3 linked regions of the Macaca fascicularis genome follow. The protein of the gene in region 1 interacts with the protein of each later gene in a pairwise test. Links are inferred from orthologs where the notes say so. Each region holds a gene or a part of one and is shown in the gene's direction. Other genes may lie near its edges.

The links.
Region 2: the proteins of TOP1 (region 1) and BTBD2 interact in a two-hybrid assay, tested with the Homo sapiens proteins (2 studies listed by BioGRID). The link is inferred for Macaca fascicularis from reciprocal best matches to the Homo sapiens genes TOP1 and BTBD2.
Region 3: the proteins of TOP1 (region 1) and BTBD1 interact in a two-hybrid assay, tested with the Homo sapiens proteins (2 studies listed by BioGRID). The link is inferred for Macaca fascicularis from reciprocal best matches to the Homo sapiens genes TOP1 and BTBD1.

The regions. Positions count from the first base shown.
Region 1 is NC_088384.1:97,227,915-97,231,564, forward strand, and holds part of TOP1 (DNA topoisomerase 1), read left to right. Parts: intron 1-1,997; coding exon 1,998-2,092; intron 2,093-2,309; coding exon 2,310-2,459; intron 2,460-3,495; coding exon 3,496-3,598; 3' UTR 3,599-3,650. UniProt on the Homo sapiens protein: Releases the supercoiling and torsional tension of DNA introduced during the DNA replication and transcription by transiently cleaving and rejoining one strand of the DNA duplex.
Region 2 is NC_088393.1:2,623,148-2,626,797, reverse strand, and holds part of BTBD2 (BTB/POZ domain-containing protein 2), read left to right. Parts: intron 1-962; coding exon 963-1,082; intron 1,083-2,349; coding exon 2,350-2,506; intron 2,507-3,650.
Region 3 is NC_088381.1:68,115,967-68,119,616, forward strand, and holds part of BTBD1 (BTB/POZ domain-containing protein 1), read left to right. Parts: intron 1-3,157; coding exon 3,158-3,350; intron 3,351-3,650.

The DNA.
Region 1 (3,650 bases):
AAGAGATGTACCCGTCCACAGTGAATGAATATACATCCATAGACCACTTGAGTCCTTGGATCATATGATTGGCAGGCAAAGAACTCTATAGATGGCCCATCCTAGCAGCTCACATTTGCTGCCACTCTGTTAAATGCTGGTCATCTGGAATTGTTTATTCTCCTCATGTTATCATTCCAAGCCAGAAATAAAAGCATGAATATTCAGGTGCTGTTTACCTAATTCAGGAAGACCCCTCCCAGGAGTATGAGGAGGTCTTTTGTTGCTCTCACTCTGGAACCACTGTTTGGGCAGCCCAGGCTGCCTGCCAGACGAGCCCTCCAAGCCCAGGATTCCTCTCCTGTGTGCCCACAAAGCAAACACACGCCCCTTTTTGCCAAGTGAATCAATGGAGTCTTTGATGCTTTGAGAGAATTTGACATAGCCTGCCAATTTAGCATTCACAGAAATGGTTAAAAGATTGTGGTTTGCTACATTTCTATCCTAAAAAGAATCTGGCTAGTGGTGTCTGTGACGCTTTTGTATATAGAATCAGTCCCCTCAGTTTGGCTTTGGACAACATAGATATTGGAAGTAAGCCATTCATAGTAAAACATATTTAGTGATTCTCTCACAATGGTGGCCTCTGTTTCCAGTCTTGGGCTGTGTGTATTTAACAAACAATTCTGGGCTCAGTGAGCAGCCCAGTGTGTGTCAGACATGTTATTTACTCTGTGGAGGTTGTGTTAACCTCACAGATCAGCTAGATGGTCATAGATATGGGGTTCTTCTGTCCTCAGAGCAGCGTGAGCTCACTGACAGGGGCTCTAGCTCCATGTTGTTACCCACTGCTGTCTCTAAGCAGGAATCTAAGAACTTTCTCACCAGTGGTGCTTCAAGGATTCTAACAAGCAAGAAAGGCTGAAACTGCCCTTGTCTCTTCCCTTATAGATATGGATTCCACGAGATTTCACTTGGGAAAAAAAGCTCCACAGCTGAAAGTGTTTTCACATCCATTGAGTGACAACTAAGGTCCTTCCCACCTCAGACCTCTCTCCTTTTTATTTTATTTATTTATTTATTGAGACGGAGTCTCGCTCTGTCACCCAGGCTGGAGTGTAGTGGCGTGATCTTGGCTCACTGTAAGCTCCACCTCCCAGGTTCATGCCATTCTCCTGCCTCAGCCTCCCGAGTAGCTGGGACTACAGGCGCCCACCACCACACCTGGCTAATTTTTTGTATTTTTAGTAGAGATGGGGTTTCACCATGTTAGCCAGGATGGTCTAAATCTCCTGACCTTGTGGTCCACCCACCTCAGCCTCCCAAAGTGCTAGGATTACAGGCATAAGCCACCGCGCCCGGCAACCTCTCTCCTTTTAAAAACAGAATGCCAAAGCTAGGCCCTGCCATGTCCTGGTTTGGGACAGACTGGCTGAGCTGTTTGGCTTCCTGGGTATCTTTTAATTGCCAGTTTGTAGCCCCTTGAGTACTCTCTTCAGTGCATCCATTTTCCTTGAGAAGCTGTCGCCGCCTTCCCAGAGTACTGGTGGGATCTGAGGAATGAGCTGGGGTTGCCCAGTAGATGCAAGTATCCTGGCTCAGCTTCCTAAAGAGTAGCTCCTACAGTGTTCTTGGAATGAAAGCTAAAAACTGGCACAGGATCTAGTTGATAAACAGCTGTCATTTGTAGCCGTTCTCCCAGATGTCTGACAGCAGAGTGTTCTCTGATGGAAAGATCAGCACCCAGATTCCCAGCCCCAGCGGGTTCCTTTCCCTGAGCCCCTAGGTTACTATGCTGTAGAACCCTTGTTTCTTGCAGGATCACTGAAGAACAAATAGTTGAATTCAGTAGTCCCTGTGCATCTTCTCCCTGCCTTCATGAAGCCACCCTTGGTGTTTTTATCTGACAAACCACTGACAGAGACAGCTTGGTCCAGATAACATCTAGGTTTCACCTTGTCTTGAGGGAGCCATTTTTCCTCTACAGCTCATAACCTTACCACTATTATTTCCCCTAGATTGATGCCAAGAAGGAACAGCTAGCAGATGCCCGGAGAGACCTGAAAAGTGCTAAGGCTGATGCCAAGGTCATGAAGGATGCAAAGACCAAGAAGTACGTACCTGGTATTGTAAAAGTTGGGGCGGGTGGGGAAAAGTGTGTGCAGCATCTGTCAGAGGTCCTGGGGCCCTGGCTTTTCTATGGTTTCTGAGGGATGTCTTTTGGAAATCTCTGTACTAGGGCTTTTATTGACTCAAAGTGGCAGCATGGGTACAGTGTGCTCTTGTTTAGAGCCCAGGCCTGGTTCTTGAGGACTGTGCTATTCTTCTAGGGTAGTAGAGTCAAAGAAGAAGGCTGTGCAGAGACTGGAGGAACAGTTGATGAAGCTGGAAGTTCAAGCCACAGACCGAGAGGAAAATAAACAAATTGCCTTGGGAACCTCCAAACTCAATTATCTGGACCCTAGGATCACAGTGGCTTGGTAAGTGTTGAACCTTCCTTGAGCTCCTGCTGCTAGCTTGAGAAAGGTGGAGGGCACTGGTGGCCTTCACATGCCATTCCTAAGCTGCACACTTCTAGTCCTATGGGGAAACTTCTGGCTTCAGCTGTGTACAAGTTACTTTGGTTGCTGAACCTTGTCTGTAGATGCATTGCAACATTCTGGTTGCTCCTAAATGGTCAGTGCTGTCATACTGCCTTGTAGTGTATGTTATGTTTTTAAGAGGCAGGTTCCATCCCTATTCCTTATGGAACTTTAGGACAGGAATGGAAACTCTTAGCTTCTGGCAAAATAGGAAAGAGCCCATTCAACTCTACCCTTCAACAAAACTTTTCGTTGAAATTTTTTGCAGTTGAAGGTAGGAACAAGAGATAAAGATGAGAATAGAGATCTGAGCAACTTACACAGAGAGGCAGAGGGGTCTTTAACAAAGGCAGATAAATATTAGGTTTCTCTCTGTGTGTCACACACACTGTCACATAACATCTGAAATAAGTGGCTTTGTTTTGGAAGATGTTTAGTTTGAGCTGTTAAGTTCTGAGCATAGGTGGAGATATCCTCCCCTATGGCACTTGCTAGTCCGGGCTAAAGGTTCCACCTAACTCTTTTGTACCTCTTTCTGCTCGTTTTGCCTTGTTTGGTGCTAGAGGTTTGGTTAGCTCTTAAAAGGCAATATAGTATAGGGTTAAGAACATGGAGAAAAACTGCTTGGGTTCAAATTTCAGGTCACTTACCACCTAGCTGTTTGAGAAAATCAGTAAATTACCTAACGTCTCTGCCTCAGTTTCTTCATCTGTACCTTTTTTACTTGTACATCTGCAGAAGCACCTACTTTAGAGATCACTGCCAAGATTAAATGAGTTGATCACATAAAACCTTTAGAACATGCTTGGTGCACTATTAATTTGCATCCTCACTAGACAGACGTGAAAGAGAAGATGGAACATCTGACCCTGAGCTTCAGATATGGGCCATTGCTGAGTCACCCTAATCCCCCTTATTTCTCCTTTATTTGCAGGTGCAAGAAGTGGGGCGTCCCAATTGAGAAGATTTACAACAAAACCCAGCGGGAAAAGTTTGCCTGGGCCATTGACATGGCTGATGAAGACTACGAGTTTTAGCCAGTCTCAAGAGGCAGGGTTCTGTGAAAAGGAACAGTGTGGTTTGGGAAAG
Region 2 (3,650 bases), on another chromosome or scaffold:
TGGTGCCTCCTAACGCTCCTCCCATGCTCCTGCTGTTCCCTGGGCCTTGATGCCCTTCCCCACCGGCGTGGTGGCTCAGATGACCCCACAAGGCTTCCCTGGGCCTTGTGTTCCGAATAGGACCACGCTCCTCTCTCTTCCCTCACTCAGTGGGGGCTGTTCGGCCACTTGGTCCTTGTCTGTCTCCCTCAGGCCAGGCCCTGTGCCTGTAGCTGACTCCCTGGGAAAGTGTGTGCCCATGAGGGAATGCGTGAGCGGGAAAGTGATAGAGAGTAGATGAATGTGTGAATCAGTGAGTGAATAATGAGGCTGAATAAGTGGATGAGTGCATGTGGGAATGAATGAATGTGTGTGTCAATGGGTGAATGAGCGAATAAATTCACGTGTTGGATGAATGAGTGAGCGAATGAGTGCGATGAATGAGAAAGTGAATGAATGAGAAAGTGAATGAATGAATGCGGGTCATAAATGAGCGTGTGAATGCACGCCCATGGGAATGAATCAGTGGGTCAATGAATGCATGTGTGGATGAATGAGTGAGTGTATGTGTATGAGTGAGTGAATGTACATGGAAATGAATGAGTTAATGAATGAACATGTGAATGAATGAGCGAGTGAATGAACGCATCTGTGAATGAATGCATGCATGCATGTGGGAATGCGTGAATGCGTGCCTGACGCCTGGAAGGAAAGAGGATGGTGAGGGCTGGCAGAGTGTGAGGCCCTGTGTGGTCCAGGGCATGGTCCCAGCCCTGTCTGTCCTTGCCGTGGGTCCATCTGCATCACCCTCCTGCTGTCCCAGGCCCCTTCCAGAAGCCTCTGCCATCAGGGGGCCTGGCACATGCCTGCTGGGGGCTGGTGGGGACCCCTGGTGGGGTGGTCATCCAAGATACCGGGCAGGCCCTCCCCACCATGGGGTGGCGGCCATGGGGTTAACCAGGGCCTCCTCTCTCCCGTGCCAGGTTCGTGCTGGCTGTGGGCAGCGCCGTCTTTGATGCCATGTTCAACGGGGGAATGGCCACAACGTCCACAGAGATCGAGCTGCCCGACGTGGAACCCGCTGCCTTCCTTGCACTGCTCAAGTAACGCTTCTGGATGCTTCCTGCTGGGGAGCCGGGTGCGGGGAGGGGGACCTCAGAGAACGCAGACCCTGTCTGACACCACCTCAGAGGCCCTGGCTTGGTGGAGATTTCTAGAACTGTGTTCCTGTGCAGTGAGGGGTTCCAGAGGCACCTTTTTTTTTCTTTTTTTTTTTTTTTTGAGATGGAATCTCGCTCTGTTGCCCAGGCTGGAGTGCAGTGGTGTGATCTCAGCTCACTGCGACCTCCGCCTTCCTGGTTCAAGTGATTCTCCTGCCTCAGCCTCCTAAGTACCTAGGATTACAGGCGTTCACCACCACACCCAGCTCATTTTTATGTTTTCAGTAGAGACAGCGTTTCTCTATGTTGGCCAGGCTGGTCTCAAACTCCTGGCCTCAGGTGATCCACCTGAGAAAAAAATTTTTTTTTTTTTTATTTGGAGTAGCACTCTGCCACCATGGCTGGAGTGCAGTGGCTTGATCCTGGCTTACTGCAACCTCTGCCTCCTGGGTTCAAGCGATTCTCTTGCCTCAGCCTCCTGAGTAGCTGGGATTACAGGTGCCCGCCACCACGCCCAGCTAATTTTTGTATTTTTAGTAGAGACGGGGTTTCACCATTTTGGCCAGGCTGGTCTGGAACTTCTTGACCTCAGATGATCTGCCTGTCTCAGCCTCCCAAAGTGCGGGGATTACAGGCGCGAGCCACCAGGCCCGGCCTTTGCTTCTATTTTTGATCGGCCCAACTTCTGATCTGTATTCAGTGTGGGCCACTGGCTGGCATCGTGTTCAGCGTGGTGTGGGCCCCTCGCTGGCATACAGTAATGTTGTCCATGATTATCCATGAGCCTAACTAGTGTGTGGGGTTCTGTGATCACCCAGAAATGGTCGAGGTTTTCGGTGGGGCCTGAGGTGGGGAACCAAGAGTTCCTCATGGAAAAGGCACCCAAGGAGGAGACACCCAGCTCCCAGTGCCCTCTCCTGGGGCATCCCGGGAAGAACGAGACAGGCCGTGTAGACGCTTCCGGGTGTGTGCTGTGTGGATGGGTTCAGCCTCTTGTTTTCATGGGTGACTGCCTTGCCAAGTCATGTCCCTAGGTCAGAGGGCAACAGACAAGGGCTAATTCTGGAAGGTTCCTCGGGGAGCCTGATGTGGGGCGTTTGGGCCCTGCAGGCTCAAGGGCAGGCGGCCAGGTCTGAGTGGTCCTCTGACGCTGTTCCCTGGGGGCGGGCATGGCGGTCCCATCTCATGGCTACCCGCGTTGCCTCTGCAGGTTTCTCTACTCGGACGAGGTGCAGATCGGCCCGGAGACGGTGATGACCACGCTATACACCGCCAAGAAGTACGCGGTGCCAGCGCTGGAGGCCCACTGCGTGGAGTTCCTGAAGAAGAACCTGCGAGCCGACAACGCCTTCATGCTGCTCACGCAGGTGGGCGGGGCCGGCACGGGGCGGGGCCGGCACGGGGCGGGGCCGGCACGGGGCGGGGCCGGCACGGGGCGGGGCCGGCACGGGGCGGGGCCGGCACGGGGCGGGGCCGGCACGGGGCGGGGCCGGCACGGGGCGGGGCCGGCACGGGGCGGGGGCGGGGCCAGGCCTGGCTGGAGGCGGGACGGGGTGGGGGCGGGCACGGGCTGGAGGCGGGACCGGGGTGGGCCCTGGAGGCAGCAGGATCCTGCCTGGTAGTAAAATGTGTTTTGTGCCGTGCGCTGTGGCTCACGCCTGTAATCCCCGCACATTGGGAGGCTGAGGCGGGCGGATTACCTGAGGTCAGGCGTTCCAGACCAGCCTCGCCAACATGGCGAAATCTCGTCACTACTAAAAATACAAAAATGAGCCTGGAGTGGTGGCGGACACCTGTAATCCCAACTAGTCTGGAGGCTGAGGCAGGAGAATCGCTTGAACCTGGGAGGCGGAGGTTGTAGTGAGCCGAGATTGCGCCACTGCACTCCAGTCTGGCAACAAAGCGAGACTCTACCTGAAAAAAAAAATGTGCCTTGGACTTTTCTGTGATAGTTTAAAAAGTTATTGGCAGGGTGCGGTGGCTCATGCCTGTAACCCCAGCACTTTGGGAGGCCGAGGAGGGAGGATTGCTTGAGGCCGGGAGTTCTAGACCAGCCTAGGCAACATAGGGAGACCCCATTTCTACAAAAAACAGAAAAAAGATACAGGCTGGGCATAATGGTTCATGCCTGTAATCCCAGCACTTTGGGAGGCTGAGACAGGCAGATCACCAGAGGTGAAGAGTTTGAGACCAGCCTGGCCAACATGGTAAAACCCCATCTCTACTAAAAAAAAAAAAAAAAAAAATTGGCCCGGCGCGGTGGCTCAAGCCTGTAATCCCAGCACTTTGGGAGGCCGAGACGGGTGGATCACGAGGTCAGGAGATCGAGACCATCCTGGCTAACATGGTGAAACCCTGTCTCTACTCAAAATACAAAAAACTAGCTGGGCGTGGTGGCGGGCGCCTGTAGTCCCAGCTACTCGGAGGCTGAGGCAGGAGAATGGCGTGAACCCGGGAGGTGGAGCTTGCAGTGAGCCGAGATCGCGCCACTGCACTCCAGCCTGGGCGCCA
Region 3 (3,650 bases), on another chromosome or scaffold:
AGTTTCTCAAGGTTTTAAAAATTCTATGTCTTTCTCATCCTTTTACTTTTAGCCTTACGTTATTTTGACCATGTCTCTTGTAAGCTTCATTTTTTAAAAATTCAGTCTGAAAGACTTTGCCTTTTATATGGAATATTTGATTCACTTTATACTTAATATGATTAATAGTCTATTAAACTTTCTTTCTTTTTTTTTGTAGACAGTGTCTCCTCTGTCACCCAGGCTGGAATGCAGTGGCATGATTTCAGCTCATTCCAGCGTCAACCTCCTGGGCTCAGGTGATCCTCCCACCTCAGCCTCCCTTATTAAAGAGTCTTTTATTATTATTTTAGTGGGTTGCCCTTGTTATTACAAGAATATATTCTTACTGATTTTTAAATTAAATCTTAAAAATTAAAATTTTTAGGTGGGGAACAGTGGCTCATGCCTTTAGTTCCAGCACTTTGGGAGGCTGAGGCGGGTAGATTGTTTGAGTCGAGTTCAAGGCCAGCCTCGGCAAAATGGGGAAACCCTGTCTTTACAAAAAAAAATTTAAAAATTTGCCTGGAGTGGTGGCACACACCTGTAGTCCCAGCTACCTGGGGGACTGAGCTGGGGATCACTTGAGCCCAGGAGTTCAAGGCTGCAGTTAGCCATGATCACACCACTGCTCTCCACACCTGGGCGACAGTGAGACCCTGTCTCTAAATAAATAAATTAATTAAATTAAAAAATTTTAATTAAAATTTTCCACACTATAATAAAGGCATTATTGATACTTTTGCTATATTTAACCTTCTGTAGCCTTTGGTGCTACTATTTTGTGTATTTTAATTTTTCATATGTTACAAAGCCCACAAAACATTATTTTTAAAGTCAATAATCATTTTGATTTGCCTATATATTTGCCCTTTCAGTTATCTTCATTTTTTTCTGTATGACCAGATGTGTGCTTCTATCTGGAAACGTTTCTGTTAGCTTGAAAAATTCCCTTCAGTATTTCTTTTAGAACAGGCAGGATACTAACCAGATTCTCTCAACTCTTTTTTTTCTTTTGTCTAAAAACAGCTTTATCTTACTTTTTTTTTTTTTTTTTTTTTTTTAAAGAGATGAGGCCCTGCTATGTTGCCCTGGCTGGAGTGCAGTGGCTATTCACAGCCTCAAAATTCTGGCCTCAAACAATCCTCCCACCCTAGCTTCCTGAGTAGCTGAGACTAGAGGGGCACACTGCTGAGCCCAGCTTGCCTTCGTTTGTGAAGGATATTTTTCTGGGTAGAAAGCTCCATCTTTCATTTGAATGCTATTCTATTCCTTTTTTTTTTTTTTTTTTTTTTTTTTGGAGACACAGAGTAAGACTCTGTCATCACCCAGCCTAGAGTGCAGTGGCACAATTTCATCTCAGTGCAACCTCCACCTGCCAGGTTCAAGTGATTCTCCTGCCTCAGCCTCCCGAGTAGCTAGGATTACAGGCACCCACCACCATGCTCGGCTAAATTTTGTATTGTTAGTAGAGACGGGGTTTCACCATGTTGGGGAATGGTACCCAACATGTAGGCTTTTATCGCTCACCTGCCTTCCACCATTTCGCCCAGGTCCTCAAAGTTCATTATATCATTCTTAGGCCTTTGCCTCCTCATAGCGTCTTAGCTCCCACTTATAAGTAAGACCATATGATATTTGGTTTTCCATTCCTGAGTTACTTCACTTAGAATAATGGTCTCCAAGTTCATCCAAGTTGCTGTAAAGGCCTTTGTTTCGTTCTGTTTTATGACTGAGTAGTATTCTGTGGTGTATATATACCACATTTTCTTCATCCAGTCATTGGTTGATGGGCATTTAGCTTGGCTCCATATTTTTGCAGTTGCCAGTAGTGCTGCTGTAAACATGTATGTGCAAGAATCTTTTTCATGTAATGACTTACTTTCCTTTGGGTAGATATCCGGTAGTGGAACTGCTGGATCAAATGGTAGTTCTAATTTTAGTTCTTTTTTTTTGAGACAGAGTCTTGCTCTGTTGCCCAGGCTGGAGTGCAGTGGTGCGATCGTAGCTCACTGCAGCTTCCGCCTCCAGGTTCAAGCGATTCTCCTGCCTCAGCCTCCCGAGTAGCTGGGACTACAGGCGCCCATCACTGCACCCAGCTAATTTTTGTATATTTTTTTAGAGATGGGGTTTCACCATGTTGGTCAGGCTGGTTTCAAACTCCTGACCTTGTGATCTGCCCACCTCAGCCTCCTAAAGTACTGGGATTACACGCATGACCCACCACGCCTGGCCCTTTTTAGTTCTTTAAGGAATCTCCATACTGTTTTCCTTAGTGATTGTAGTAGTTTACATTACCACCAACAGTGTAAAAGAGTTACTTTTTCACCACATCCATGCCAGCATCTTTTTTTTTTTTTCTAATTATGGCCATTCTTGCAGGAGTGAGGTGATACCTTATTGCGGTTTTAATTTGCCTTTCCACGATAATTAGTGATGAACATGAGCATTTTTTCATATGTTTGTTGGCCACTTGTATATGTTCTTTTGAGAATTGTCTCTTCCTGTCCTTTGCACACTTTGTCCTGGGATTATTTGGGTTTTTTTTCTTGCTGACTTGTTTGAGTTGTAGATTCTGGATATTAGTCCTTTGTTGGATGCATAGTTTGCAAATATTTTCTCCCACTCTGTGGGTCGTGTGTTTGCTCTGCTGATTATTTCTTCCGCTGTGCAAAAGCTTTTTAGTTTAATTAGGTTCCATTCATTTATTTTTGTTTTTGTTGCATTTGCTTTTGGGTTCTTAGTCATGAATTATTTACCTAAGCCAATGTCTTGAAGAGTTTTCTAGATGCTGTCTTCTAGAATTTTTATGGTTTCTTAGATTTAAGTCTTTGATTCATCTCGAGTTGATTTTTATATAAGGTGAGAAAGGAGGATTCCTGGCATCCATAAGGAACAGCATTTATTCCTGAATCTAAATTTTGACTAATTAATGCTTTTAACATTTTAATTAATGTGTTTAACCTCAAATGGATTTATCGAAACTTTAAAATATATGCAAAGATTATATATGCTAAGATTTTTTTTCCCTATTTTTATGTTACATCCTCTAGATTTGAATTTACTTTAAGTGGAGTATTCCAAAGTTAGGAATTGAAATCAAATTGCTTTTTTTAGGTTTATGTTTTTATTTCCACAGGTCCTGCTCAATCTGGAATTTTGTCAGATCGTGAAGTGGTAAACCTCTTTCTTCATTTTACTGTCAACCCTAAACCCCGAGTTGAATACATTGACCGACCAAGGTGCTGCCTCAGAGGAAAGGAATGCTGCATCAATAGATTCCAGCAAGTAGAAAGCCGCTGGGGTTACAGTGGGACGAGTGATCGAATCAGGTATCTGTTATATTGGGGATACGGGGGTAGAATGGGGGTAGCAGTTACCATTTGGCCTTTTTTATATATTGTGGGAGATAATTAACCAACATTTCATTTTATACTTTGTTTAATACACTTTTAAGTTAAGTTAATACAGGAGTCAAGAAGTCACTGAGGCATCCCGCCCTCCTCACTGATTTATGAGTGAGGGTGACTTCTTAAGAAAAAAACAGAGTAAGAAAGGATTGGGTTGGACCTTCTGTTATGTGATTTTTTTTTTTTTTTTCACCCGAGATAGAGTCGCTCTGTCACTCAGGC